Linked DNA regions of Callithrix jacchus. The protein of the gene in region 1 interacts with the protein of each later gene in a pairwise test. Links are inferred from orthologs where the notes say so. Each region holds a gene or a part of one and is shown on either strand. Other genes may lie near its edges. The genes, in order: HSPD1, TMCC2, LZTS2 and SAMD3.

The links.
Region 2: the proteins of HSPD1 (region 1) and TMCC2 interact in a two-hybrid assay, tested with the Homo sapiens proteins (2 studies listed by BioGRID). The two-hybrid records come from large-scale screens. The link is inferred for Callithrix jacchus from reciprocal best matches to the Homo sapiens genes HSPD1 and TMCC2.
Region 3: the proteins of HSPD1 (region 1) and LZTS2 interact in binary tests that used the Homo sapiens proteins (3 or more experiments, as listed by UniProt). The two-hybrid records come from large-scale screens. The link is inferred for Callithrix jacchus from reciprocal best matches to the Homo sapiens genes HSPD1 and LZTS2.
Region 4: the proteins of HSPD1 (region 1) and SAMD3 interact in binary tests that used the Homo sapiens proteins (3 or more experiments, as listed by UniProt). The two-hybrid records come from large-scale screens. The link is inferred for Callithrix jacchus from reciprocal best matches to the Homo sapiens genes HSPD1 and SAMD3.

Annotation. Positions count from the first base shown.
Region 1 is NC_133507.1:118,453,896-118,461,031, forward strand, and holds part of HSPD1 (60 kDa heat shock protein, mitochondrial), read right to left. Parts: coding exon 7,082-7,136; intron 5,925-7,081; coding exon 5,672-5,924; intron 4,095-5,671; coding exon 4,012-4,094; intron 3,464-4,011; coding exon 3,368-3,463; intron 2,963-3,367; coding exon 2,869-2,962; intron 1,807-2,868; coding exon 1,638-1,806; intron 1-1,637. UniProt on the Homo sapiens protein: Chaperonin implicated in mitochondrial protein import and macromolecular assembly. Together with Hsp10, facilitates the correct folding of imported proteins.
Region 2 is NC_133520.1:32,733,884-32,741,019, reverse strand, and holds part of TMCC2 (transmembrane and coiled-coil domains protein 2), read right to left. Parts: intron 5,475-7,136; coding exon 4,923-5,474; intron 1-4,922.
Region 3 is NC_133513.1:93,950,900-93,958,543, reverse strand, and holds the start of LZTS2 (leucine zipper putative tumor suppressor 2), read right to left. Parts: upstream 4,653-7,644; 5' UTR 4,492-4,652; intron 3,456-4,491; exon of another isoform or gene 3,324-3,455; intron 3,156-3,323; exon of another isoform or gene 2,794-3,155; intron 1,941-2,793; exon of another isoform or gene 1,814-1,940; intron 1-1,813. UniProt on the Homo sapiens protein: Negative regulator of katanin-mediated microtubule severing and release from the centrosome. Required for central spindle formation and the completion of cytokinesis.
Region 4 is NC_133505.1:136,826,293-136,834,186, forward strand, and holds the start of SAMD3 (sterile alpha motif domain-containing protein 3), read right to left. Parts: upstream 4,214-7,894; 5' UTR 3,852-4,213; coding exon 3,773-3,851; intron 3,126-3,772; coding exon 2,936-3,125; intron 1-2,935.

The DNA.
Region 1 (7,136 bases):
AGCCTGGGTGACAGAGCAAGACTCCATCTCAAAAAATAAAAAAAATAAACTGCTGGCCTCACATTCCAGTTGAACAGCTGGACCCAGGATCAAACATCATATCCCAGTAAATTATAGGATATAGTGATAACTATTATGAATGGTAGAAAAACATTAATTACTAAATATGTGCAATCAAATGTCCAGTGGAAAGCAGATTGTGAAACAGAAGGAATGTTCAAACTTTAAGACAGCTGGTCTATTTTATTAAGGACCCAAATAAAAATTAGAGGAATAAGCTCTATGTCAAGTAAATTGGATATCCCATTTTTCAACTAGCAATAAAATGGCCTAATGAAAACTCTGTAAGCTTGTTTTTTTCTGACCTCATGTCTTCAAGTCTTTATTTAATTCCTCAGAAAAAGCAAATCCAAGCCAAGAAAAACATTCCAGGGTAAGGAGGCTCATTAAGAGCTTTTGGGTCAGATCAACATGTATAATGTCTAAAATATACCTGCTATGTGTGCATTTCTACTATAGCAAAGCAGAGAGAAAAGTCTTGCTTCTGAAGTACTTCAATTTTCAGATAAGGAAGAACAAACGCTTGATCACAGCCAGGGGTAGTGGCTCATGCCTGTAATCCCAGCACTTTGGGAGGCTGAGGTGGAGAATCACTTAAGATTCACCAATAGTTTAAGACTAGCCTAGGCAACATACTGAGACCTTGTCTCTGCAGAAAAATTTAAAAATCAGCCAAGTGTGGTCATGCAAGTGTAGTCCCAGCTACTTGGGAGGCTGAGGCAGGAAGAATGCTTGACCCCAGGAGTTCAAGGCTGCAGGGAGCTATGATCGTGCCACCATACCCCAGCCTGGGTGACAGTCTGTCCCTCAAAATAAATAAAAATATTTGATAGCGAAATACACTTACATCTGAGTTATTTATTTAGAGACAGAGGTACAGTATCAGCTCTCTGCAACCTCCGCCTCCTGGGTTCAAGTGATTCTCCTGCCTCAGCCCGTGAGTAGCTGGGATTACAGGCTTGGGCCACCATGCCGTGTTACTATTTGTATTTTTAGTAGAGACGGGGTTTCACTATGTTAGCCAGGCTGATCTCGTCTGATCTCTGGTGAGCCACCCACCTGGCCCAACTGAGTTGTTTAGAATGTTACCTGTTTACTTCCCTGTTCCAGCCAAAATAATATTCTGAAAATGTATATATTTTTAACCAGAAAAACCTTAAAAACAAAACAAGATTCAAACTTGAACCCAGGAGGCTTGAGCCGAGATTGAGCCACTGCACTCCAGCCTGAGCGACAGAGTGAGACTGTCTCAAAAAAAAAAACAAAAAACAAAAAAAACAAGATTCAGTTACATACCTTCAAAATAACTGTAAACACTTGCAAAATAAAGAAAGGTACCCATGGGCTAAATTAGTCTATTCTATGAGAAAGCTGAACAAAATAGTAAAGACTGGGGAGTCCCATTCAAAAACACAAATATGAAGATACACAGAGCATATCTGATTTATACAAATACAATTCTAGATAAAAACCCAAGTAGATCATATGTGGAGGTACACATAATGGAGACTGCAAACAGCAATACAAATAATTCTTTCATCCAGAAATATAAATCATCAAATACCACTGCCTATTACCTATTCAAGACAAGTGTACTTAGAGCTTCTCCATCAACGTCTTCAGCGATTATGACCAAAGGCTTACGGTGAGCATTGGCAATTTCAAGAGCAGGTACAATCGACTGGACACTAGAAATTTTCTTTTCACTCAACAGAACATAGGCATCCTGGAATTCACATTTCTGACCTGTAAAAATAATGAAGATTTCAAAAATACACAAAATGAATACAATGTATTTAAATGAAAAGCTAAACCAAGGTTCCAACACACTTAAAAAGTGACCAGGCTGGGTGCGGTGGCTCATGCCTGTAATCCCAGCACTTTGGGAGGCTGAGGCGGGTGGATCACAAAGTTAAGAGACCATCCTGGCCTACATGGTGAAACCCTGCCTCTACCAAAAAATACAAAAATTAGCTGGGCGTGGTGACTCACGCCTGTAGTCCCAGCTACTCGTGAGGCTGGGGCAGGAGAACTGCCTGAACCCAGGAGGCAGAGACTGCGGTGAGCTGAGATTGTGCCACTGCACTCCAGCCTGGCGCCTGGCAACAGAACAAGACTCTATCTCTGGAATACACACATTTATTTTTTTAGAGGATGACACCAACTAACATCCATAGTTTGACACACGTTAGGAAAGTACGTTTAAAAAATTTTAGGAGGGTAAAACAGGGAGATCACTTGAGGCCAGGCATTCAAGACTAGTCTGGCCAACATGGCTAAACCTTATCTCTATTAAAAATACAAAAAGTAGCCGGGCACGGTAGCTCATGCCTGTAATCCCAGCACTTTGGGAGGCTGAGGTGAGCATATTGTCTAAAGTCAGGAGCTAGAGAGACCAGCCTGGCCAACGTGGTGAAACCCCATCTCTACTAAAAATACAAAAATTAGCTGAGCATGGTGGCACCTGCCTATAATTCCAGCTACTTGGGAGGCTAAGCAAGGAGAATTGCTTGAATCCGGGAGGTAGAGGTTGTGATGAGCCAACATTGCATCACTATACTCCAGCCTGGGTGACAGTGAGACTCTGCCTCAAAATGAAGAAATAAATTAAGGAAAAATAAAAATTAAATTAAATTAAAAAATTAGCCGGGCATGGTGGCACATGCTTAGATCCCAGCTGTTTTGGAGGCTGAGGCCCAAGAATCACTTGAACCCAGGAGGTGGAGGTTGCAGTAAGTCAAGGTCACAACACTGCACTCCAGACTGGGCAACAGAGAATAAGACTCTGTCTAAAAGATTTGTTTTTACCTTTTGATGTATTAATAAAGTATGGAGAAATATAGCCTCGATCAAACTTCATGCCTTCAATAATTTCTAATTCATCATTAAGTGTTTTTCCATCCTATGAAAAGACAAAGAATTAGGTATACGGATTTCAATGAACACAAAACATGAAATTACAGGCCAGATTAACAAAAATAGACCCCTTTGGTCATTAGGAATATAGGCTAGAGTATGAAAAAACCCAGGATATCCAATTTCACTTCTGCAAAAATCCCAAAAGTGCTTATTTAAATAATTCTTATGGCTAGACAATATTTAAGTTAGGATGGATTCATTTCACAAAGCAAAGGCTAATTCACGTAAAACACAGTAAGCACTTTGTTCTATACATGTGCTGAGACCACATATAAAGAAATGAAACCACACAGTATTTAAAACACATAAAATTTTTCTACTTGGAAAATTCAGTTTTGATCATCAGATAACTCATTCAAACTATTTTTAAAAACACAAACACACTTGCCTTTACTGTGATGACACCCTTTCTTCCAACCTTTTTCATTGCATCAGAGATGATATTCCCAATTTCTTTGTCTCCATTTGCAGAAATTGTAGCAACCTGAAATAGTCAAGTTGAATTAAAAGGTAAGGCTAGTGCCCTCAGTCAGTTCCCTCATCTTTTCCCAGTAACTTCCAAACTGACACTTACATTCCAGGGAGAAAATTTACGATATGGTAGTTTTCATGAAGTACTAGTTCTTTCTCTTTTTTGATTCATTAACTACACTGTTTTGAGAAACATGATATATAAAACTATTCTTTTAACAATATGTATCTTTTTACATGGCAAATCTGATACTACTAACTGACAAAACTTATGCACCTTTGACAATGGCTAAGAACATTTTCACAATCATACTAATCCATTTTACAGCCATGTAGAACTAAAATGACAACTACACATAGAAGTAAAATGACAGCTACACATAGAACTAAATGACAATCATTATGGTCAAAATTCTTTTCAAATGTTTTAGCAGTAAGAAAAAATGAGTCTAATACTGACGATTAGGTAATACTGTTATTCTGACATTGGTGTGATCGAGAAAAAAAAAACACACATGCCATAAATTTTTTTAAAAAAAGTGTAACATATTAAGTCCTTACCTGTGCAATTTCTTCGGGGGTGGTCACAGGTTTAGACTGCTTTTTAAGTTCGGCAATTACAGCATCAACAGCTAACATCACACCTAGTTCAACAATGTATGTCATTACAATGCTTATTTCTCTCAGGGCTTCTATGTCAAGTAGAAATCTTGAGATTCATAACAAATATTTTAATGACTTAAAAAAAAATTTTTTTTGAGACAGGCACTTGCTCTGTCGCCCAGGCTGGAGTGTAGTAGCACAGATCATGGCTCACTGCAGCCTTGACATCCTGGGCTCGAGGGAGTAGCTGAGACCATAGGCTCAAGGCACCATGCTCAGCTTATTTTATTTTTGTAGATTAGGTCTCACTATGTTGCCCAAGCTGGTCTTGAAATCCTGGGCTCAAGCGATCCTCCCACCTCAGCTTCCCATGTAGCTGGTACTTACAGGCATGTATCTATGCTTGGACTAAAACAAGGCAGATGTGTACAGTTCCAAGAGTCTCTCCACTGAACTCATCCTATGCAAATCATTTCTAACCCAATCATGCTGCCCGTCCCTGACACTTTTCATGTCTGTCAGATGATGCAAAAAAAGGACCAAAATGGGTAACACTCCCTTACTTTCAACAAGTATAGTTCTTAAATGATAGGAATTTGTTGTGACTATGTCTCTACAGGTGTCAATTATTTGAAATTCTTTCACTTAATTTAGTATGTATTATGAACTAACAAAATATTTGTTATACATTAGTTTTTTAAGTCTCATTTTGCTTAACTGGGAATAGTGCTAGCTCTCCTGTTTGAGAGATATACTTAAAAAAAAATCCAATGCAAGGTGTTGGGAAGTCCTCTTAATCTTAATATGTTAGTGATTTACAGTAAAACTGCTTAAGTGCAGTGTATTCACTTGACCCATAAACACTGAAATAGATAAGGTAATGATATATTAGTAATGTAGTAATACATCAGTATGTCAATTATGACAAAAAAATTATCAATAGCACCACCCCCATGACTCTCAAGAGGGTTCCAGGTTTGAACCCTAACATACTCTAGATATACATATAGCAATTCTGGTGATAGGAAAACCAAGTCTTAGCACACAGCTAATAAATGACAAAAGATGGGACTAAAATTTATCAGCTTCATACTGCCATGAAGCTCATGGTGAGGAGCAAATTAAGTTACACTCCAGTTACAAGCACTAACAAACCAATAACACAGTTTGTGCTAAGAAAAAATAAATTGTGGAAAACATTACTTTCTGATTCAGTCTAGTCTTACTTTCTACAAAACTAAACTAAAAATTAGCCAGGAATGGTGGTGAATGCCCACAGTCTCGGCTACTTGGAGGCCGAGGCAGGAGGATTGCTTGAGTTCAAGGTTACAGTGAACCATGACTGTGCCACTGTGGTCTGGCTTGGACTCTGTCCCTAAAAACAAAAGAAATCAACTAAGTAAAACATCAAAATTACCTAACAGCACCCACCACACAGTCTGGCATTCAATCACTACTTACTAAAGGAAAACCCACTTTAAGATTTCTCTAGGCCAAGAGGAGGAATGAGAGAAGGATCAATTTCCTACAGTAACAAACACTTTCCTTAGGTTCAAGGAATTAATGCCTTAAAGTATACTGAAGTTTAGAACACTGTAGTGACAACAAACATTCCTACCTCTCCTGATTTCCACTGGATTAGCACCTTTGCTAATCTTCTCGAAGCCTTCCTTGGCAATAGAGCGTGCCAGTACAGTAGCCGTGGTAGTGCCATCCCCAGCCTCTTCATTTGTGTTATTGGCAACATCTTGAACAAGTTTAGCTCCAATATTTTTATATTTATCCTTTAAGTCAATTGACTTTGCAACAGTCACACCATCTTTTGTTACTTTGGGACTTCCCCAGCTTTGCTCAATAATCACTGTTCTTCCCTAGAAGAAAAAAAAAAAGTTACTGGATCACACACACTCTAAGGGTTATTTACATGTCAAAAAATGAGCAGTTTTCATAATGAAGCAACTACTTCAAAGTCTCAACGTTTTTACCAGTCTTGCAGCATGAATCTCAAGGGCACGTTTATTAATATTCTTTGTCAACAGACAAAATGATCTGTTTCTCGGCCAAGAGCGTAATTTCGAATTAGATAATTTAGGAGATTAAGTTTTGGTTAGTGCCTGTTATCTTTGAAAGTAATGTGACCATCAAGGCAAGTAGTGTGCTCTTCCAGGTTCACTCAACATAAAACCTCAACCATGGCACAAATAGTTATTGGCCACCTTTTGGATGTGAACTAAAGCTGTTACTTTCCATTTGTGAGGTGTGTAAATATTTTATGCAGTTGTTTGGATCACTTAATATCTGAACTGTCTTCAGACTGAAATGAACACCACTTCACTGCACACCACTTTAAAGGCCTCCTCAAAATATTAACCCTATTAAATGAGACTGATTTTAAATATGCTTTGGAACAAGAGAACAGCAGAAAACCGATAGGTAAAACTAGCATTTTGGGATGAAGGAGAGAACGGTAAGCTACTGTTTAATGAGCATAAAGTTACAATTTTCCAACATAAAAAAGTTTTGGAGATGGATAGTGGCAATAATTGCACCACATAAATGTAATTAATGTCCCCAAAGTGCACACTTAATGGTGATTTTCTGTTGTGTACATTTTACTACAACAAACAAGCAAACGAAAGCACCTACAAGCACATACCTGAGGTACTAAAGGAGATAAACTCTTCCCTCTATACTTGGCATGAACTACTGGGGAAAAATCCAAATTTTAACTTAGGCAAGCAAAATTCTACCTCGAGTTTAGGAATCCACCTTGAGCTATGAGTTACTACCCGATTACATCACGCATTGTACAAAATAGTTTTGAAAATCTGGCTGAAGCACTTTTAAGCTTTAAGATCATGTCTAAGAAAAGAAAGGTTAACCAATACTTCACAACTCTTACATGTAAACTGGTTTATCTCAAAAACAGATACGAAAGTACTGTTCAATAGTTCAGTGCGACTGTTTGTGAGTAAAACGCTATTAATACTGTAATTACAATAAAATAAATAAATAAATATACGGATACCTTTGGCCCCATTGTAACAGCTACGGCATCGGCTAAAAGGTCTACACCTTGAAGC
Region 2 (7,136 bases), on another chromosome or scaffold:
TCCTCATAAAATCGCTGCATACCAGAGACTCCTGCTTGACAGGATTTTTCTAATTTGATTTTTTAAATGTATTCATTGACTCACCCATGAGAGGTGGGCCTGGCTGCCTCTACACGCAGAGTGCCTGTTCAGTGAGGGCTGAACAACCTGGTTCATTCTGCTGGGCTCCTCCAGCTCTCAATTTCACAAAGCCACGCCACCCTTTTAGCCAAAGCATGCAGAGCTCCTCACTCTGAGAACAGACTTCTCCCCAGTGGAGGCTGGGCTTGCAAATGGTTCAGTCCCATCATTTTAAATACTATCTATATGCTGACAACTCCCAAATTTATGCCTCTAGCTTGGATCTCTCCCCAGAACTCCAGACTCGTACAGCTGACTGCTTATTTGCCATTTCCACGTGGATGTTTAATAGTCACTTCAAACTGAACCTAGCTCTGATTTCTGCCCCCCACCCCCATCCCTTGCCAGGTACTCATTCCATTTGCATCTTCCTTGACTCAGATAATAGCCATTTCTTCTTTCCGGCTGCCAGGCTGCAAATCTGTGAGCCACATTTAACTCCTCCCTTTCTGTCATGCCCATATAAAATCATCAGAAACCTTTGTGACTTGATCTTTGAAGCCAATCCAGAATCCAGCTACTCTGCTCCACCCCCAGAGTAGTTCAACAGCTTCTGAACCAGATGCTCTGCTCACACCTGGTTCACAGCACTTTGGGAGGCTGAGGAAGCTGGACCACCTGAGGTCAGGAGTTTGAGACCAGCCTGGCCAACATGGCGAAACCCCATCTCTACTAAAAATATAAATATTAGCTGAACAAGGTGGTGGGCACCTGTAATCCCAGCTACTCGGAAGGCTGAGGCACGAGAATAGCTTGAACCCAGGAGGTGGAGGTTGCAGTGAGCCGAGATGGATGACAGAGCAAGACTCCGTCTCAAAAGAAAAAAAAATTGGGATATCATCACCTGGCTTAGCTATCTCACAGGATGGCTTTAATGAATTCATGAAACAATGTCTACAAAAGCACTTTCTATGCTGGAAAAGTGAAAGACCAAACCTGAGCTGCTATACAGTGCCGGGCACAAGGCATACACACAAATGCCTGTTGAATGAATGAACATCCAAACATTTTCAAATGTCAACATGCACAAAAACTTGAGAAACAGTCTGTGTTGACGAGAAGACAATTTAAAATCGTGTGTGGAGACAGGTCTGCTCTGGTGATCATTTAAGGTAAAAAGAGCTTTACACCAGAGTTTCCCTTGGAACTTTGATGCTGGAAAACCCACAAGGCCTCACATCCCCCAAATGTAGAACTGTTTGGTCTTCATCATGTCTCCTACTCTCACTTCCACTTGAGCCATCTTCTCTTTCATCTGCCCTCCCACTGGCCCTTCCAGATTCTTCCTTCCACAACAAACAAGCTGCCTCCGGGCTTTTACTGCAGCTCCACCTGCTCTGGAACCCTCATTCATCGCAGTGACCTTTTCTTGCTCTTTCTCCCTCATTTCGGCCATGTGGAGATGGGACCTGCATTCGACTGCACTCAGTGTTGCTTCAGCCCAGCCTCCTTGGAGGTCCCTGCCATTCCACTCTTTTTCCCCAGCCTCCAGTCATCAAAGCCACCTGCTGCCCTCCTTCCTGACCACTGCCCTGGGGGGCATCTCCAGGTCATATGGACAGCTCATCCCACAACCTAACCTCTCAGCTCTCCCCACTGCAAATTATCTTTCCATTCATTCCTTGTCTGCCATGCTCTATGAGTATATTCTGCCCTTTGTCTTCCCCATCCCACCCCCAAGTCGTACACTCCCATGTCCTCTCCTGTCTCTCTCACTCCTCTTTATTCTTAATGCACCTGCTCCCCCACTCCCTCAGTACCCTCATCTCCTTTTCTCCACATTCAGCCTTCTCCTATCCCCACCTCCTTCTCTACCAGCCAAGGTTTCAAGGTCCAACCCTTTGAGCATTCTCTGACCCCCCCAACTCCGTTGTCACCCTTGACCTTTCAACATGCCCTCCCAGCAACCCCCAACCCTGGATTAGCCTGATAATCCTGCAGCTGTGTTCCTACCCTATGGCTAGGACCACTAGAGAGAAAATAAATCACAACTGCTAGGCTGCTGCCAGCACAAATTACAAGCCTCTACAACACCAGACAGGTCACCCGTGAGTTCCTGCTCAGAGCCTTGCTCTGCCCCAAGCCAAAACCTTTACTGCCCTCCTCCAGCCAGTCCTTCCACCTCCCCCACTACTCTCAATAAACAGTTGTTTGTACCTTTGCTTTCTTCCTCCATAGAAAATAAAAACAAAGTAAGAATTCATTTCTGCCTGACAGAGGTGACTCTTTGTGACCGAGAATGATGCTGAATTCTGGATCTCACACCCTCTCACCTACTCACTGACATCACCCCAATGAGAATTCCCCTTCCTCACTGCTATCTTTGATCTCTCCCTAATAGGGCCCTCTCCAGCCACATGGAAGTGTACTCAGGCGCTTCCCAACTTAAAAAAGCCAACAAAAACCAGACTGCCTCCACCTGATGTCCTCCCTCTTTACAGCCAAGCTACACACCTGACTCCACTTCCACCGTCTCCTTAATCCACTGAAACTGGCTTCAGTCACGGTTCCCAATGGCAGCCACTGCTTGCTACTGCCTGTGCACATTTCCAAACCCAGATGTGACCTGCTCCTTCTATGCATTTCACTCTGATTACTTCCTCCTCCTTCAAGCTCCTTTTCCTTTTGCTCTGCTGCAAGTTCACTTCCACACATCTGACTCCTCTCTCTCAGGCTCCTGGTGCTTGGCCTGTCACTTACATGTCAGTTGGATCTGTCCATGGCCTCCTTCTCATTCAACACATCCTCCTTTGAAGATCTCACTCACACCCATGATTTCAACCTCAGTGCCAGCTCCCAGAGCACTGGCCCTGGCCCAGGCCCCTACTCCACAGACCCAACTGCCATCTGGTCCTCCCTAGTTGGACAGCTCCCAAAGGCACTTGCAACTCAACAGGTCCAAAACTGAACTCATCACCCTTCCCACAAAACATGCCCTGTGATTCCTTAACTAGAGAATTCCCCATTTCTAAAGCCACTAAGCCTATAACCTTAGAATCATCCTCGACACCTCCCTTTCCTCTGTCTCCTATTTTGTTTCTCACCCACTACCTCTGACTTTCACTCTCAAACATTTTCTGCACATGGTGCCTTCTTTCCATCCACACTGCTGCAGCCTAGACTACTGCACTAGCTCTAAAACCTCCTTGACTCCAGTCCTGTGATCCCTTCCCAATCTACTTTTTTTTTTTTTGAGACGAGTCTCACTCTGTCTCCCAGGCTAGAGTGCAGTGGCGCGATCTTGACTCACTGCAACCTCTGCCTCCCGGGTTCAAGCGATTCTCCTGCCTCAGCCTCCCAAGTAGCTGGGAGTACAGGCACCCACCACCACGCCTGGCTAATTTTCGTACTTTTAGTAGAGACGGGGTTTTACCATGTTGGCCAGGGTGATCTCGAACTCCTGACCTCAAAGTGATCCACCTGCCTCCCAAAGTGCTGGGATTACAGGTGTGAACCACCACGCCTGGCCCCAATCTACTCTTTATATTGGGATCCAGAGGGATCTCATCCTGCCAGTTTCCTGCCTAGCACCCTTTGATAGCTTCACACTACTCCCAGACTCAACATGGCAAGGCCTTTTGTGATGTGGCCTCTGCCTACCTGTCAAACCCCAAAAGTGCTAGATGCTCTGGCTACAATGAACCTCTAGTAGCCCACAGCACCTGATTGAGTGCTTTTGTACATACTATGCCCTCCCTTCCCCCTACCCCTCTCCCAGTTCTTCCCTGGCTAAATTATTCAGCTCAACAGTTTCGTTTCCTCCAGCAGGTCTCTGCTAGCTACCTGCTCCCTCCTCAAGTCCCCTCTCCCTTGAAGCTCCCACAGCAGCTCTCATCTCTGTCCATTCACCCACTCGTCCCCCTCTAGAGTGAGCTCCACAAGATGGCAACACTGGCTTGTTCATTCTTGTAGCACAAAGCAAAGATTCAATAGATACTTCTTGCATGAATAAAAGAACAAATATATAAATCATGAAGTGCCAAACTAGCTTTTCTCCTTCCCAAATCACCCTTCATGGACTCCCTGTCTTCTTTGGTTGGTGAAAATAGCAAAAATGATACTACACCAGGCTCTATTCCAAGTATTTTACATATATTAACTCATTTAGTCTTATAACTGTCCTATTATTATCCCCATTTTCTTTTTTTTTTGAGACAGAGTTTTGCTCTTGTTACCCAGGCTGGAGTGCAATGGTGCGATCTCGGCTCACCACAACCTTCGCCTCCTGGGTTCAGGCAATTCTCCTGCCTCAGCCTCCTGAGTAGCTGGAATTATAGGCACGCACCACCATGCCCAGCTAATTTTTTGTATTTTTAGTAGAGACGGGGTTTCACCATGTTGACCAGGATGGTCTTGATCTCTTGACCTAGTGATCCACCCACCTTGGCCTCCCAAAGTGCTGGGATTACAGGCGTGAGCCACCGCGTCCAGCCTTATTATCCCCATTTTCAATTAGTCAAACAGGCACAAAAAGGTTAACTTAGTGAGCAGCAGACACAGGGTTGGTTCCAGTCTGTGTATTGAACTACTATACCTAATGCCTCTTGATAGCACATTTAAGGAAAACAAGTCAACATTAATATCAGTATGAGCAAAATGCAATTTTGAAAAACAAAGCCCTAAAGAAACAAAAATTAGCCATTCGGGGAATCATTCTAGTCATACCTGACTCCTTTAACCAAGGCAGACAACTCTGTAGGCAGCAGGGTGTCATATCTGCCAGGCAGGGCCCCAGCTCAGCTCCCCAGGTCTCCAGGCCCCTCAGCAGACAGCCTCCCCTTACCCCTGAAGGCCCACCTCACCTTGTCCCCGATGCCTTCGGCTTCCTCAGCCAGCAGGTACACGTTGCTGCCGTCGGCCAGCAGCAGAGCAGTGTCAGTGGTGGAGGAAGAGCGGGGACGGCACTGGTGCTGGTGCAGGATGGCGGCTAGACTGCTGTCCTGGGGGGCCTTGCGCAGCAGGTGAGGGCTGCCACGCTGGGGCTCCAGGGAGCTACTCTTTGTGCGCCGGCTGCTGCTCCCGCTGCTGCTGCCCCCACTGCTGCTGTGCAGGCTGGCACCCCGCTTGATGGAGGGCCGGGAGCGGATCTGCTGCAGCACGCGGTTGAAGGCAGTGGGCCGGGCAGGCAGATCGTGCAGGGACATGGCATAGGAGACACGGTGCATCTCCGGAGAGCGCTCCTTCTCATCTGGGGAGTCATGGTCGGACATGCCCTGCTGCTGCTGCTGCTGCTGCTGCTGCTGCTGGGAATCCTGAGATGTCTGGTGCTCCCTTTCCCGAGACCGGCGGCGGCTGTGGAACAGGTGCTTCAGACCGTGGCCAAACATGGAGCCCTCTGACAGCTGCTGGATTTTCTTAAAGGGGAGAGATGAAGAACGCTGGTGAGTGGAAAGCTCTTGATTGCCCAGTCAGTTGGGGGTGAAGGTGAAGGGTCTATCCTTGGTAGACTGGCATAGCTAATGCAGCCATCTGAACCTGGAAGATCCCCATGGATGGCCTGTCATGCCTAAAAGGTCAGTTTGAGAAAAGGTAGCAACCCAGACCCATCCTTTCATTCCCAAAGAGATGTGCCCCCATGGTTTTCCACCAGACATTCCCAATCAAAGTGTGGGTTGTGAGTTTCTATGAATGATGTTCTCAGGGCTTCAGTCTGGGGCTAGTGGCACACAAAGCACTTTGCTGATGGGGTTGTATCCCTCTAGATTGATCCCCCTGCTCCCGGTCCTTCCCTCCTTCCAGGCTAGGCATCCCTTCAAGCTGTACTAGCTCTTTCAGGCCACCAAACATCAATTTCCAAAGATCCCTAATTCCAACACTCCCCTAAGAGAATCAGGGTCATACAATCAGGTTATATTGTTGTAGCAGACACTGCTAATTGCCTACCCAATATCTATTTCTCTTTCTTTCTTACCAACCAAACTGCAAGGACTTAATGCACCTTGCTAAAAATTCCTACTTCGTCAGACTCCCTTGCAGCTAGGAATAGTCACATGACAACAGTTTGGGCCAATGAAAAGCAAGGTGAGAGTTTCTGGGAACACTTCTGGTTTCCTGATAAAGGCACTGGCCCTTCCTACTACATCTTCCCATCTGGAATGGGAATGTAGTGTCTGGAGATGCAGCGGCCATTCTGCAGCCACAAGGTAACATGATTGACAATGAAGGCCTGCACACAGATGGTGGAGCCCAAGGGACAGGCCTGGGAACTTGAAAGTCTGTGGAGCCACCAAACCAGTTGTGAACACCTATCCTGGGATTCTTGTTGCATGAAATAAACCTATCTTTGTCTACACAACTCTAGTATGATTTTCTGTTATTTGCAGCCAATTTCATTCCTGATATAGTTGGCAATGAAATAAACTTTACTTCTTTGAGCAAACCTTGTGACATAGTCAGTAATATGACCAATTCTTTAGCACACACATCAGAACAAGCTATCCAAATGAGTGTCTTTCCCCTTAAACCCAAAGCACAGAGGCCGGGCAACCCAGTGCTGCCCGGGCCACAGCCTTTCCTCTTAGCCCTGCCACTGAGATTCTCCAGCTGCTTTTCCGGCAAGACTGCTCACAAAGAGACAGCTGGACGGCCTGCCAGGACAAGCAACTGTGGTATAATTCCAGACAGCTGCTTCTGTCAGGGGATGGCTTATCTGGCCAGGCTGAGCCCTCTATGAGAGCTTTGGAGCCATTGGGAGGAGGAATGAGACTTGGAGGACCAGGAGACACCTCACACTCTGCAGCTCCTTAGAGGAAAACTCAGAACTCAGCCATTTGGGACTTAATGAGCCATAGCAGGATTTCCTGTGAGGAACAACCCACAATCCTACCAGGCAGCCTAAGTCATTTAAAAAATGTTCCAAAAAATTACACAGACTGGATTTGCTGTTTCTTCTCCCCCTTGAAATAAACTTATAGAGCAGAAAATCTAGACCATATAGGAACCAAGGAAAAGCAACCTTATAGCTTCTGAATTAGCTGGCCCCACTCTTAGGTTACTATGCAACTCAGCCTTGATTT
Region 3 (7,644 bases), on another chromosome or scaffold:
CTGTGAAACCCTACGGCTTTAGAAGGTCCCCAGAGAAACCCTGAGGGGAGGAAGGTAGATGCCCCGCCTTCACCTTTGTCGGCTGCTCCAAAGCCTCACTTCCAGGGAGCCCAGGCAAGAGGGCTCCACCTCCCCAGGCCCTGCTCCTTCCAGGAAGCAGATGTGAGCCTCCACCCGGAACCCCCTCCCTACTCCCAGTCCTGAGGCCACTGATGACCAGGACTTAGGCATCTGCTGAAGTCATCATGCAGAGCGGGGCCAAGAAGTGGACAGAGAATTGCACTGGGAGTAGGAGTGTGTGCATTTAGTTATTTGTTGTGTGACTACATGCACAGGAGCATGGAAATGAACACCATGTGTATATACGAAAATGTGTGTGAAAATATGAATGTGAGTCTATGCATGTTTGATGTTATCAGCACATTCACACACGAGTTCCCGTGTGAATTCACATGTGTATATCTTACAAAAGTACATGGGTAAGGGGTCATTCTTAGAAAGCCTGTGAAAGTTATAAATGTGAATTTGTGGTGTGTGGATGAGACGGTGCCTGGACAGATGCGTCAGCATATGAGTTTATGTGTGAGCTCCTAAGTGTTTGAGTGTGTGACTAGAAAGGTGAGTGCACCAGGGTGTGCAGGTGAGCCTGTAAATGTGGGCAGGTAGGTACCAGAGTGGTGGGAGCCTGGGTGGCTTGAGGACCAGCTGGTGAAGGGAGCCTCTTTCCTTCCCCCTCTGGCATGTGGGGAGAGGTGGGACATTAACTCCTTTGCCTGATCTGTTCCCCTTCTTTCTCGTATGCGCTCCATTAAATCCACTGCCCTCCTTCCCACCCAAGTCAAAAGACACTGCGAACCAGGAAGAGGTGTTCAGGCTGGGGCCAGAGCTGTGGGGAGCTGGGGGAGGGGTGAGCCAGGCCCAGGGAGCAATCACAGGCCTCTATGCAGGGCTGCAGCTCAGACCACCCCACCGGTCTCAGCCCCGAGCAGAGCAGATAGAGAACCCCTTCCCCTCCCCTCCCGTCTCTGGGTCCACTCCAGGGTATGGAAAGAACAGTGGGGAAGGGACTTAGGGGGCCCAGGGGGCTGGCACCTCTGCTGTATTTCCCCACTTCATCGAGCAGGGAGAAAGTGAAAACTGAAGGAAGGAGACAGACTCAGAGAAAGACAGGAACCCAAAAGAGACAAAGACTCGGAGAGGCCCGAGGGTCAGGCTGACAAGGAGAAAGCCAGGCAGACCCAGTGAGCCAGGGCCCCCCAACCCCATGGAGCCGAGGGCCCCTAAGTCCAAAGTGCCACAGAGCTGGGCCCTGAGAGCCACACACCCAGGGAGCCAGAGCCAGGAGTCTGGAAAGCCAGGCCCAGCCGGCCCGGCTCCCGCTCTTGGAGCCCGAGAGAGAAGGAGGGGCAAGTGGCGGCTCCATTTTGAGAAATGCGTTTGTGGCTGTGGGAGATGGGAACCCCTCATTCTCCTCAGCACTCCCTAAGCAATCACTCTGACCCAGGAGCATCCCCCTTTTAGCGGGCTGTGGGGAGCGGAGGGCTGGAGCTCGTCCAGGGCCGGCGAGGGGTCTGAAGAGTTGGGCAAAGTCTCCCTCCCACCCAAACTCCAAGAACCAGTCAAGCGGGGTCAAGTCTGCGATCACGAGTTCCCGCTCCGCGGCGGGAAGCGGGGAGCCCCCAACCCATTCTCCAGGGGCCAGACCCGCTTCAAGAAAGTGGGGGCGGCTGGGCAATGCCCTCTCCCCGCTGGACTCCACCGCGCAGAAGTTGGGGGCGCCCCAGGCCGCCTCCCAGCCCCGGCCCCCCCTCACCTCCGCCGCGCTGCTCCATGCTCAGCCCCAGGCCGCCCCCAGCGCTCCACAGGCGCGCCGCCCGGCTCCGGCCCCGATCCCGGCCCGCGCGCCGCCACTCCGAGCGGCCCGGGCCGGCCCCGCCTCCGCCTCCGCGGCGCCCCCCGGCCCAGGCCAGCCCCCGCCCAGTGCGAGTGGGCGGCGCTGCGCAAGGGAGGGTCCGAGGGCCGTCCCCGCCCCGGGCCGCGGACACGCTCCGGCACCCGCGTCACGCGAGTCCGCCGGGGCGCACGTAGGGGCTGCTCGGCGGCAGTCGGGAGCCCTCCTTCCGACGCCCTGTGACTGCGTGTCCGGGGACTTGGCTCGGCTCGGCGGCGGCGGTCACCCTCCGCCCCAGCCCGGGCCCGGGGGCCGGCGGCAGCTGGTCATTGTTACAGCACAAAGAGCCCCGGCGAGGCGGCGGCGGCCGCCCCTCCCCCTCGGCTTCTCCAGGCGAAAATTCCCTGACACGCTCTCAGCCTCAGGGTCCCAAGCAGGAGGCCGAGGGCCGGCCGCCCCCCACTCTCCGGTCCGGGGGCCCCGCGCCCTAGCGTGAGACGGTGGCCAAAGCTCGGTCCGCGCCTGCCCCACCCGCGGCGGGTTGCAGGCGGCAACCTGGGCTTCGCGGAGGCGGCGCCACCTGGCGGCCGACTCGAAGAACACACTCAGCCTCCCCCCACCACACTGGCCCTGTCCCACTCCCCGGCACGGTGTCCTTTCCCCCGCGAACCCAGGCCGGCCTCCCCTTGGGATCACTTTTTAAAAAGAGAGGCCATTTCTCAGAGAGGGGCAGTCCTGGCTCCCCAATATCACTGGGCGAGCCGGTTCCAGCCTACAGCCCAAACCTACACCAGCCTCACGGCAAACAACATTCCACTTTCTCAGGATCGCAGACATTTTCACCTTCTCGCGCACAACACAGTCCCTAACACCCACACGACCTTTCCCATAGGCAGCCTCACCACGCAGCCACAAGCAGTCTCAGCTGTCACGTGGGACCGCGTTCCTTCTTTCCATAATCTTCCAGTCCATGTCACACACAGACACGGTGTCACAGGCCTGTTGTGGAGAGGCTTCCACAATTCGCAGTCCTTCGCACCCAGTCACAGTCTCAAATGCACTTAGTCTCCTGGCCATCTTTCACACATTGACAGCCTCTATTGACATTCACTCACACGGACAACTTCTTACACACACGCCGTGCTTCACAAATATCCTATAGCACAGCCTTTCCCTTAAGGGTCTCGGTGACCCGGTCAGGTCAGCTGATGCCTGCATCCCTGGGCAAAGACAGCCTTTCTCCCCTAAGGACTCCCTCCCCCCCAGGGCCAAGGCCTGCCAGAGCTCGTCCGGGCCCCAGGAAGGAGCATCCCCCCCTTCCAGGCCACAGCCCTGGCCCGCTCTCAGCTCTATTTTTAGCTCTATGGATAGGGTTGTTTTTCTTTCTTTTTCCCTGGAAAGGGAAACACAGCCCAGCCACCCTCAGACTCACCCCAGACCCTCAGCCTCACAAGAACAGACTGAGCCCCTCTCCCCAGCAAAGCCCCCTCCTCTGGCCTTGCCCTGATCCCTGCCTCCTGGGGCACAGAGAGCCTCCTCCTCTTTCTGGCAGCCTGCCCATCTCAGGCAGCAGCTGGGCTCAGCGTGTGTGTGTAGGGGTGGGGGGGTGGGGCGGGGAAAAGGAATCAAGCTACTGCCCACTCCCTCATTCCCTGGGGGGAGGAGCTCGCCCTCCTTTTGCTAGGGGGGTAGGCCCACTCCAGTATTGAGGGGGCGTTTACACTCATGAATTTTCTCGGGGGAGGAGACTCGGAATCCCACAAAGAGTGGAAGTGAGGGTAGGAAGGGGACCCTCAGGCGCTCAGACAGCTGCTCTCTGGGCTGGGGTTAATAGGCGGGGGCAGCTGTCCACTGTCATCAAGGGCCTGTCTCCGAAACTTTCCGGGATGTAGACACCAAGAATGTGCTGGGAAGAAGGACGTCCAGGAGCCCGAGTTACCCCGGCCCTGCCCAGCAGCCCGGCCCTCCTGCTCCGCCCCGGCTCCAGGGGGCGCTGTGCTCCGGTGCCTGGGAGAGGGTTTATCCCGGCTCCAGGCGGAGAATGGAACGCCGTCCGGCCTGGGACCAGGCAAACGCGCCCGGGACTGGGGTTGGGGTCCCCGCCCCGTGGTGGGGTTGGGAGCACTGGCCACTGATCTGCGGAGCGATCACGTGCGCCACGCCTGTTTACGTCTTGGTCTTCACCTGCGGGCGGCCAGGAAGCAGGAACCTCTGGGTGCGTCCCACCCGGCCCGCCTCCATTGCGGGCACGGGGCTGCCCCTTTCCCCCACCCAATACGCGACCGCAGAGTGTCCTGGCCGCTGGGGGTACGCGCGCGCCGGCTGGCGCTGTCCCTGGGAGTGCAAGGGTAGCCAACTGGGCGCGTCCTTTCCGAGTGCTTGTGTATTCGCATGTCCCAAGTGCGGGCGTGGGTCTGTGCACGCGTGTGTGGGGACCCGTTGGCATGCGTTTCCGTGTCGCTTCCCTGTTCTGACTCTTCGCCTGCGCCCGACCCCACTCCTCATCCCCACCCCCAGCTTCTCCAGAAGCGGAAAGTTCGCTCTGGAGCGGGGATGTGCAGGAGGCGGGAGTTCCTGCACCTCCGCCGCCCACCACTCACCCAGCGCCAGCTGCGCCTCGGCTACAGCTCCGGCGCCGCTCCTGCTCCAACGCGCTCGCCTCCTCGCTGCGACAACGCCGGCTCCCTAGCTCGCTCCGAACTCTGGGCTCCGGGCTCCGGGCTCCCGGCTCCCGGCTCCCGGCGCCCGCCTGGCAGGACCTGGTGGAGCAGAGCGGGGCGGGGCAGGGCGGCTCAGGCCGCGCCCCCCACCCGGGGAGGGGAGTGGTCTGCCCCGCACCCCACCAACAGCCGACCCAGTGCCCAGCCCAACAGTGGCTAGACAGTGGCGGAGGATGCCTCTCTGGCCTCTGACTTCACAGCTTACCGGACTTGGTTTTCCACCTGGGGAAAAGGGGCGATCATCACGTGACCGAGAATTCTGCTACCTGGCTGCCTTAACTAAGCTGCCTATAGAGCCTGACTCCGCCACTCTCCCCCCTGCTCGGTTGGGAGCCCAACCAGTCCACTCTGGGCCCAATACCCAAGTACAAGGAAAACCCCTGGGAAGCACACAAAGAAGACTTGAGTTTCACCAGAGCAGCTCCCACCTACCCCCACCATGCACACACCTCACTTGGGGCCGCCCAAGCAGAACCAGCACAGCCCCCTCCCTGGAGTAGGTGTCTGCCCAGGTGAGCAGGCCTGCCGGTTTTGACCTCCCAGGGGGCATGGCTGGGCTTCTTTTAGACTCATAAAGTCCCACCCACAGGCACAAACAGGAAGTTGGCCTGTATTGCAAGGAGGCCCCAAGGGCTCCCTCCCACCATGTCACTCAAGGCAGCATGTGGGTAGGTCTACAGGTACTTGGGCCATATGAGCTGCAGGAGACCTCGGTGAGTTGTGGCTTCTGAAATCCATCCACTGCAGAGAATAAGCTGCTGGAGGACCAAAGCTGACCCCTCACAGCCAAGTATGACACACACTGTCCATCACAGGACAGGGCTGCAGATGCAACTGAACCTGACTCAGCCAGGCCTTTCCTGAATTCTCAGGGAGATTTTTTTGAAATGTTTTTTTCTTCCCAATCCACCGAACCTGCGAGTCAGGGAGATTCTTACCATCCAGTTGGCTGTAGGCAGACCAGTCCTGTCCCAGGAAATCTGCATAGGCCCTAGGGACACCGCACTGCTTTCTAGAATCCAGGGATCTGAATAGACTAGGCCTGATCATGACATGGGGTGTTTAAGGCAGGCATGGAGTAGAATGTGTCTGTGCAGGCAGTGGGGCTGGGGGGTTATTGGCTTCCCCTCCCCATCATTCTGGTTTGTGCTGTGTGGGGGTGTATACTAGAAGGGTGGGGCAAGACAAACAGGCAAGTCTGTATCTATCCCTCTATTCCCAGTTCACAGAGACCTAACAAAGGTCCCCTACTGAAAACTTCTAAAGGATCTCCTGAGAACCCACCAGGCATTCCAAGGAGACAGGAATGTGGAACCCACATCTTCCCAGGTAGGACACATCTGGTATTGTGCCTCTGGAAGACATGGCTGGGCTGCTGTTCAATAGTACAGGCTCTGGATGAGGCCTAGAACAGCCAACGGCTGGGAATGATTACTGTGGGATTAGGGAGGCCTGGCTCCAGCCAGTCTGGGAGAGACCCCCAAGAAGGGAGGCCCTAGAGGAGCTCTCCCAACCCACAGGTTCTTCCTCACAGACAGCAGCTTTCCAGCAGCCTTGCTCCCCATGTTTCAGGAGACATTTGTGGCCACAGTTCTCACTCCAGAGACCACAGACCCCTCCACCAGTCCCAGAAGCCCCTTCTTAGGTTGAAAGGAAGACCTTCACAAGGCAGCCCTGCTTCCAAAGGGAGCAAGAAACCTTCCCCCAAACCTTACAAAAGGATTCTCCCCAGCCCTCTCAGAACATCTTGCATTCTCACGACTCTTTCAGGCAAATCCAAAGGGAAACTGGGACTTCTGGATATCAGAGGACGAGAGATGAGAAGGTGTCATCATTTAGGCATATTTCTGACAGTGCCTCTGGATCACTTATTTTACAGTCTCCTCCAGGGCTTGCTAGATATGAGGATTACTGTATCCCTCCTCAAATTTCCAGAATGACAAATGTATGTGGTGGAGGATGGGAGAATGGGGCCCAGGTTCTACATTTTTCACAGATCTCCAGGAGTTCTGGCACACATGAACGTAAAAGAATCAAGGAGAGGGTACGGGAGATGGAGGGGGGTAGAGAGAATATGTTGAGTCTAAGTCCACTAGGGAGGTGAGTGGCTCACATCACAGAGGAATGGCCAGTCAGGGAGGGCCCGGGCATGTGGCCCAGGAATGAGCACCTGTGCAGGAGTCACTCAAGATCCTCAGGGAAGTTAGGCATGAGGACAGACCATCTTGCTTTCCCTAGGCCAAGAAGAGATGGAAAGGGGAGGTGGGGTGTGAAGGCCCCTTAATGTCCCTGCTTCCTCGGAAGCCCACCGCTCAAAGGCTGCAAGCAGTGGGAGGGAACCCATTTATTCCCAGTCCTGAGAGGGAAATTCAGCTACGGACTGGGGAGACACCTGGTGGATGAATAAGAAAAAGCACAGAAACAGAGGCAATGAAAAAATATTTTAGTAAAACTGGAAAAGGCTCTACAAAACGTCCTAACTCCAGGTGTCTGAGGCAGCACACAATGGCATCAGTATGTAGGTGGCAGGCACTGTGGGCTGACAGCTTCCTTCTACGGCTCTATGGCCAAGCAACCCAGCGGGTGGCAGCTCCCCCCCACCACCCCATGAAGCCCTGATATTGCAGGCTAAGCACCTAGAATCCGATTCTAGTCATTGCTACCTCGTGCCAGGCTCTACAAAGTGGGGAGCAGAGGGGCTTGGGACCCACCATATTACCCTTAGGCTCTTAAAGCCTGGGCTGGGGTTTTTGCATGAAGTCGCCTATGCCTCCCAGGTTCAGGGGGCCTGACCTCACTGCCTGGGTTCTGACCTGCTCATTCCTACCTCAGCGCTTGCTATTTCCTTTCCCTCTCCTGGATCCCCTTCTCTGGATGTTCATGTGGCTCTCTCCTTCTAGTTGTTTAGGCCCCAGCTCACATGCCCTCAGCTCAGAGACACCTTTTCAGACCACTTATCCACAATACCCTGCCAGCATGCTATCGAATTTCTATTTTCTTTTCCTTTTTTTTTTTTTTTCTGGAGACAGAGTC
Region 4 (7,894 bases), on another chromosome or scaffold:
AGCTACCAATCAGAAAAATTTTAAATCTACCTGTTACTTGGAAGTCCCAGCTTTTATTTTTTTATTTTTTATTTTTTTGAGATGGAAGTTTGCTATTGTTGCCCAGGCTGGAGTGCAACAGCACAATCTTGGCTCACCACAACCTCCGCCTCCTGGGCTCAAGCAGTTCTCCTGCCTCAGCCTCCTGAGCCCCAGTTTTAAGTTGTCCTGCCCTTCCGGTTCAAACCAATCTAAATCTTACACTTATTGATGTCTTTCTTACATCTCCCTAAAATGTATAAAAGCAAGCTGTACTGACTGCATTGGGCACATGTCATCAGTGCCTCCTGAAGCTATGTCATGGGTGCATCCTTAACCTTGGCAAAATAGACTTTCTAAATTGATTAATACCCGTCTCAGGTACTTTTGAGTTCACACAGGCAACCACTAGCCATTAAAGGGAATCTGCACTCAAATGGAAACCTATCTGCTAGCTCTGATCTAGAATGCCATCACAGACTCCTTAGAACGAACCTAAAGTATCATTTATTCTACCCACTTCATTTTACAGTTGAAGAAGCAAAAACTAAAAGGGATCAGACAAATCTCCAAGGCCAGATGAGGAGCTAATATCACAATAGGGGGTTGAAATCAGCTGTTTTAATACCTAGCTTCAGGGTTCTTTTGTACACCAAGTTTCCTTTATTAAACACTCTCTAAAAGGGTTTAATTAAACCGTGTATTCTCATGCCTCTTTCTACTGTCATTCCCACTTGATGATTGTCAAGTGACAACATAATTAATAAATATATTTGACAATAAGCAAATATAACCAACAAGCATTTCATATAAAATATAAACTGATATATTTTTCTTCTCACATGCAATTGTAATTCTGCATTAGAATAATCTAAATACAAGACAACCCAAATCCCTAAGTGAGTCAGCTGCTTATGGATAGAGTGAAAAGTCTCCACTCATAAATCCCCAGACAAACTATGGTCCCCGTTCTGGCCACATTTGAAACTAGCTTTCTTAACCAGGTTAACCAAGTTTAACACAGGACTATTTCAGTCTGGGAGAAAAAGGACAAATCTGCTCAAAGATTGTGATACTCCTAACATCAGTGTGAATTAAACAGGAGTTAAGTACCATATTACTTTTCACAATGCACAGATGCAGAAACAGGAATGCCAACATTTAAAATAATCAATACAAGTCAGTAGTAGAACCAGGAATGAAGCCCAGGTTTTCTGGCACCCCAGCCAGTTCTCTTTTAGTTGAGAACATTATAAATTGATTTGCAGTGGAAACAAGACTGCCTGTTTTCTTCTAAAAGAAAGAAAGATTTTAAATATTTCATTTTACACATCCATATATTGCCTTAGAAATATCAAGATTCCAGTCAATGGAAGGGAACTTCCAGCTCCAAAGTCCTACTCATCCCAAAATGCAAGGAAATAACTCTGATCTCTCTTTCAGTTTCCCACCCTTCCTTGGGGAAGGAGTAAAAGCTTGCAATGGGAACTCCATTAATAGTTACATGTTCAAGAGTGTGCTCTTTTACATAGATAAGCCAAAACAATGTTTAGAAGTCCTTCAAATAAATCAGTTAGGGATCGGATGAAGCAGCTCTTGCCTGTAATCCAGGCACTTTAGGAGGCTGAGGCAGGAGGATGGCTTGAGGCGAGGAGTTGGAGACCAGCCTGGGTAACACAGTGAGAAAACCATTTCTTATAAATTAGACAGGTGTGGTGTTGAGTGCCTATAATCCCAAGTACTTGGGAGGCAGAAACAGGAGAACTGCTTGAGCCCAGGAATTTGAAGCTGCAGTGAGCTATGATCCTGCCACAGCACTCCAGCCTGGGGAACAGACTGAGACCTATCTCTATAAAAACCAAAAAAAATGAAAATTTTTTTTTTTAGTCAATTAGTAGAATTTCCAGTCTGGCTCTATATACCATCCTTTCAAGGCTACCTGTTCCCCTCCATGTCCCAAATTTTAAAATATTCTAGAAATAAAGTTGATTATGTCAGATCTCTACCATTATATTACTTATCAAAGAGAAACAGAGAAATCTCTATTATTACCTATCTAATCTCAAAAAAATCAAAGTAAAAACAGAGAATAGACTTTATTAATCATCACAATCTTTAAAATTTATTCATAGTTTCACAGCAAATATTTAATCTTGGAAACCTTTCAAAAAATCTTGAAAATAGGAAAATTAAATCAGAATGGCCAAAATGATCCCGGGGCATAAATGGATATGTAAAATGAAATTTTCAGTCTTGTACATCCTGTTTTCCTTTCTTTCCATTGCAGAAGTCAGTGATTAAAAAACAAACAAAACCATTCCCAAACTTCAGACTTTTTATTGGCCACCGCTAATTTTTCGACATGATTTTTTGGGGTGTTCCATGGTGCTCACTATTCTAAGGATATCCTTAAAAAATTAGAAAACTCATGTGGCAATAAAGTGTTTAGCAAATTATATCGTAAAGGTATCCAGAGGAGAGTATAAATTTGTTACTCTAAGAAATCCTTGGAAAATAATAGATTAATAAATAGTTTTGGGAAAAGCAAAGGAGCAGTCAAGATGCCTTCCCCAAAAGCTGATTTTAAAACCAGAGAAACCAGAGCCGCAGGAGCCCCTTTCTCCTTGTGTTACATGTCTATTTCGCCTGCTTGTTCCACAACATTTTATGTAGACCCCTCGGTCTATAGGACTTCCCTAATGATTGGAACCAGTGTTTAAAAAGTGGTGAAACAAAAAAGGTTTCTTGATTCCTAAAATTTTACAGTGTCCTTTGCTCAGATATTAGAAATACTGTACATACAATCCAGCTGAAAATAGTCACAGTTTTCACAGGGCTTTAAACCCCAGATGTCATGCTCTAGCCATCATTGGGAAAGCTTGGGGAAAAAAATAAGGCCATTTATGAATATACTCACTCTCGGGCTGCTTCTGTTTGCATGACCAGGGCTGCCTCTTTGGGACTTTCAGGGGACTTCAGTCCTTGAGTGTTCCTCTTGTATTTTTTAATTAAATCCATCAGAACAGCTTGATGCCCAATTTTCTTTACCAGTTGCTGAACCATCCGATCATTAAGTGCAAGGAGAGCGGCCCCACTTACTTCTTCCTCTGGGAAAAAGAAAAAAAAAAGTTTCTACATGACTTTCTGGCAAAACACAGGCATTCTGAAGAAGCAAAATTATCTCCAGTGATAAAAGGATCGTCTAAACTTGTCCCCTGCCATTATAAATTTATCCATATTTTTGACAAAGATAGAACTCTGATGTTGCATAATTCCAAATCAATACCTGCTCCTAAGAAAGTGCCAGAACATGGAATCACAATAAAAACTTATAATTTCCACATTAACACCCTCTCCATTCTAGTTCTCTCTAACAGGCATTGTTTAATCTTAGGAAATTATTCTTCATAATAGCTCCTAGCCAATATGCAACCTTGTAAACCCAATACTACAAAAAATACACACTGTATTAAAGAACAAAAGCAATATTAAATGCATATATCAAATACGTATTTTAAGTAACCCTTAAGGCTTTATTTGAGTTCTTGACATATTATATTCTCCTGTGGACATTACTTTCAAATAGAAACTCCGCTACAGTCCATGAAGAAATGAAAAATTCTCTGCTGCAGCAACTCCACATCCACATTTACATGCACACAGACATCTGTCAACAAAAGTAATTTCAACAACAGAGGACATCAGAAGATCTAGGCTGATCAATTAAAATTTTTGGAAAGTATAAACAACTCACCTTGAAACCTCTGAACTAGCTCTCCTAAATTTTTCTCCACCAACCAACTGCAGACCTGCTCAACTGACCAGGTTTCCATGGCTGTCTCCTGTAAATACACCTGTAGAGCAAAAGGTCAGAGAATACTCCAGCTTTTCTTTCTGACCCTGCCTTAATTTTTTTTTTAACAATCAGCCCCTTCCTTTGCTAGATTCCTTTAGACTCTCAATGTTAAGCTTTTAAAAGATTACTATTTTTACAATGCACATTTAAAAACTGCTAAGAAAACACTCTCATTTTAAATATAAGACCCTATTTAACCTATTTTCTAGTATCTCATTTCTTAAATTTCTTCACCTTCTCCTACTTTTTTCCCATAGGCATCCCGAAGCTTTACTAACAGCCAGCCAGAGCCATACAGTGGTACCCAATCCTGTACCATTAACACCCAGGTTTCTTCACAAAGAAAAGAAAGGTGTGAAATTCACCACTACTAGGCTCCTCAGGAAGTGGTTGACATTTACAGAAGGGGTGGGCAGGGGAGGAAGGGAGGAAGGATCAGATAAAAGCCTGACAGAAATACTTAGTAAACCAAGACTGGTTAACCCCTTGCTTCTCCTAGCTAGGAGAAGGAGGTTGTAACTTACTGTTTCTCGTCGTTTTGGTTTAGCAAGAGGAGAAAGTAGGACCCAAATTCCTCAGGAGAATCTGAATGTTTCTGTCCTTCCTTCCAATAATACTCGTACATATCCCTCTGAGTTCTAGAACTTTATTGGACACTGTTATGATTGGTAAGATAACTAGGATAAACTACCACATAGATTGAAAACCTTGTACTTAATTGGGCAGATTCAAATTGGAAAATAATTAAATATGTTAATAATTATTGTGAAAGAAGCATATGCAAAGTGTGCAAGATATAATCTTCAACTGTTTCACTTATTTTTGCATGCCACTTGTCTCCAACCACTAAGAAAACTTAAAACTATTTCCCTAAGGAAGCTTATTCCTTGATTTTGTAATTCCAATCCAAAGGACTTGTGATGGATTTGGAGGTGGGTGTGGTGAGGGGAGGGGTGTGGGAGGGTGGGGTAGGATGGGTGGGTGGAGGGAGAAACTGAAATAAATTTAAAACATTTAGCCTTTTAACATTACATGGCAATTTCAAATTACAATCTAAATGATATAGATTCACTTGTACATTAAGATATTGACTATTCTATATAGACCAAGGAAAAAGCTACTTATGGAGAAATGGAATCATAAGGAAAGATAAAAATACTTATTAATCATGTATTTAAATTTTATTGATGGAAGTTCTAAAAAGAACTATTATTGCATTTTTCATTTTTGTGTATTTAAATAGGTTACAATTACCAACATCATAGTTAGAATAGTAGAAAAGGGGAAAAACGTTTACCTTGCATATGTAACAAGCTGAAAAGATAATCTTCAAGAATCATTTCCTAGAAAACAGTTTGACTTCAAATAAGCCTCATACTCATAAGTATTCACAAACACCAAGTTGAAAAATCGAAAACAAGGGTTAAATATAGAAGAACATCTTTCTGCATTTCAGCAGTGGATTTAATTTGTTATGACAAACAGTAGCCATAGAACTCCTCCCCTAGGCTAAGCAGCAATAGCAGGGTGTGAAAAGTCATTATTTGCAAGACTCTGGTGTAAATTAAAAATCACACCTTTCTGTCACACTTCTGGCTTCCTTGTGAAGAGTAGGTCTTAGGGAAAAAATAGAAAATAAAGAAAAAGTAAAACAATTCTCTGAACTCTAAGATTAAAAGGTATGCAGAGCAGAAGATACTACCTTGTAGCCATAGATGGATAAAAGGAAATTTGAAAAAAAAAAAGAGTACTTGGAAATGATCACGTATTTTTTAATTTGCGGATTCTTACTACAATTCTACTTCCGGGAAAAACAAAACAGGTTAAATTATAACCTCATACAAACATAATAAAATAAAAAAGCATATAGTTTTTGCCTATTAGCTTTTCTGGAGAGGTAATGAAACAATATCACTAGCTAGACAATGTAACATCTTTGAGGAGTAATGGTACAACTTCTTCTCACATAAATAATGGATATATTATTTATGATCTTCTAAACCATGAAGGCACAAATTATATATCAGATGAGAAAAGATATATCTGGTAGCTTTATTCTGAGCTCCAGAAACATCTGAAAGTATTTCAAAATGTGAAGGTAAGCATTATCCCTAAATAGTTGAAGACACAATAATGTTTAGGAAGAATTAATAATAATATTATGTATGAATGCTCCTGCTAAACCATTCTTATTATTTGATTGAATTGTAAAACAAGAAAAAAATATGTATTAAGTATTAAAGGGCTTCATCTAACTAAAGCCAAGAAGAGGTAAGACTTTAGCTAAAGCAGCCTAAATATGGGCAAGCTTTATTTAACAAATCTGTTAAAATTACAAAGGAAGATAATAGGGCCACCTGCTGTGAACGTGATTTATCATCTTCAGGGGGCAATCTAATGCATAAAACATCATATAAAACATATAAAAACATCAACCACAAAAGAGTACTTTTAAGGAAAACATGAACCCTTTTTGTCATCTTTCTTTCTATTTTCATTTTTAGTTTTGTCTTCTGAAGTCCAAAAGCTGGGACAACAAAAGATTCCTAAAAGTTTTGCTGGCAGCATACGCCCTCTCCTGGATCAATATCTCATTCTGCCCTGAGAAAAAGTATCTCCTACCATGGCTGAACTTGAAGGGACAAACCACTGATCAAATATCAGTTCCTGTTGGTAAAAAAAAGAAGGAAAATTGAGGTACAAAAATAAGGGGTTGGGTACTGTGGCTCACACCTGTAATCTAGCACTTTGGGAGGCCGAGGTGGGTGGATCATGAGGTCTGTAGTTCAAGACCAGCCTGGCCGAGATGCTGAACCCTGTCTCTACTAAAAATACAAAAAATTAGCCGGGCGGTGTGATAGGTGCCTGTAAACCCAGCTACTTAGGAGGCTGAGGCAGGGAATCTCTTGAACCCAGGAGGTGGAGGTTGCAGTGAGGTGAGATCGTGCCACTGCACTCCGGCCTGAACAACAGAGAGACAGTCTGTCTCAATAATAATAATAATAAGAAGTATGTGGCTGTCACATACAACAATGTCTGGCAATTCTTTTGGGTAGCAGCCTTGCTACCACTGGAGGCAATAGCGTTGTACAACTCTCTCCTTAGTTCAGCTAGGAGCTGGGTTCTTTGTCACACGGTCATGAAATATTAGCTCTAGGCTCGCAGACACTTTGAAGGTTGAGAAAACGGAATTTATCGGGCCAAAAGGAATAAAAGGGGAAACTCTCAGCAGAGTGAGAGTTCTGGTAGAAATGCTTCCCACATCACAGATTGAATTCCAATTTCCCACACCAGAACAAGGGGGGCCAGGTCCTCCCTGCCGCAAATGGCACAAACTTCCGTGGCTCCACCCCATTCTCTCAGTGCACAGGTTGGCCAGGTGTTTCAAAAGCAGCATGGTGTTCCAATGGAACATAACATCTCATCCACTATGGCGTGATATTATTGCAACCATCACCAGAACACATGAAATAAAAACTGCAATATTCAACTCAAATACCTTGCATACGCTAGTCACCAAGATGTTTACTGCCTAGATAGATAGCCCAAAGTGGGGTGGATGATGATACACTAAAGAAGTTACATGCCTCACTAAGAAGATAAGATACATAGATAAGCAGAATATGATATACAGCCAATTATGATGGGTGGGTGCTTTAGAAAGCACCTTGGGGCTGGATTTTCCCACAGCCTCCTGGAAGAGAATGGATCTTGATTTGGAATTAAATAATGGAAATATTTTAGATACCAAAGAAGCTGGAGAAAGCAGGATCAATATAATGACCTCAAAGTAGAAACCCAGAAATAAATGAGTCATATTTCGGAACCCCAGGGAGGACCATGCTGCCTGGAATAGGAACCCCATGGTAGGGAACTAGAGGAGACAGGGTCTGAAGACCGAGGAAAGGCTTAGAAAGTTAAGAGATTATACACGTACTTAGCTTGGGAGGGTCATTGAACTGAGAGTATGTTCCATGCTTTAAAAAGATGATTTAGGCAGTGGAGTCAAATAAATGACAG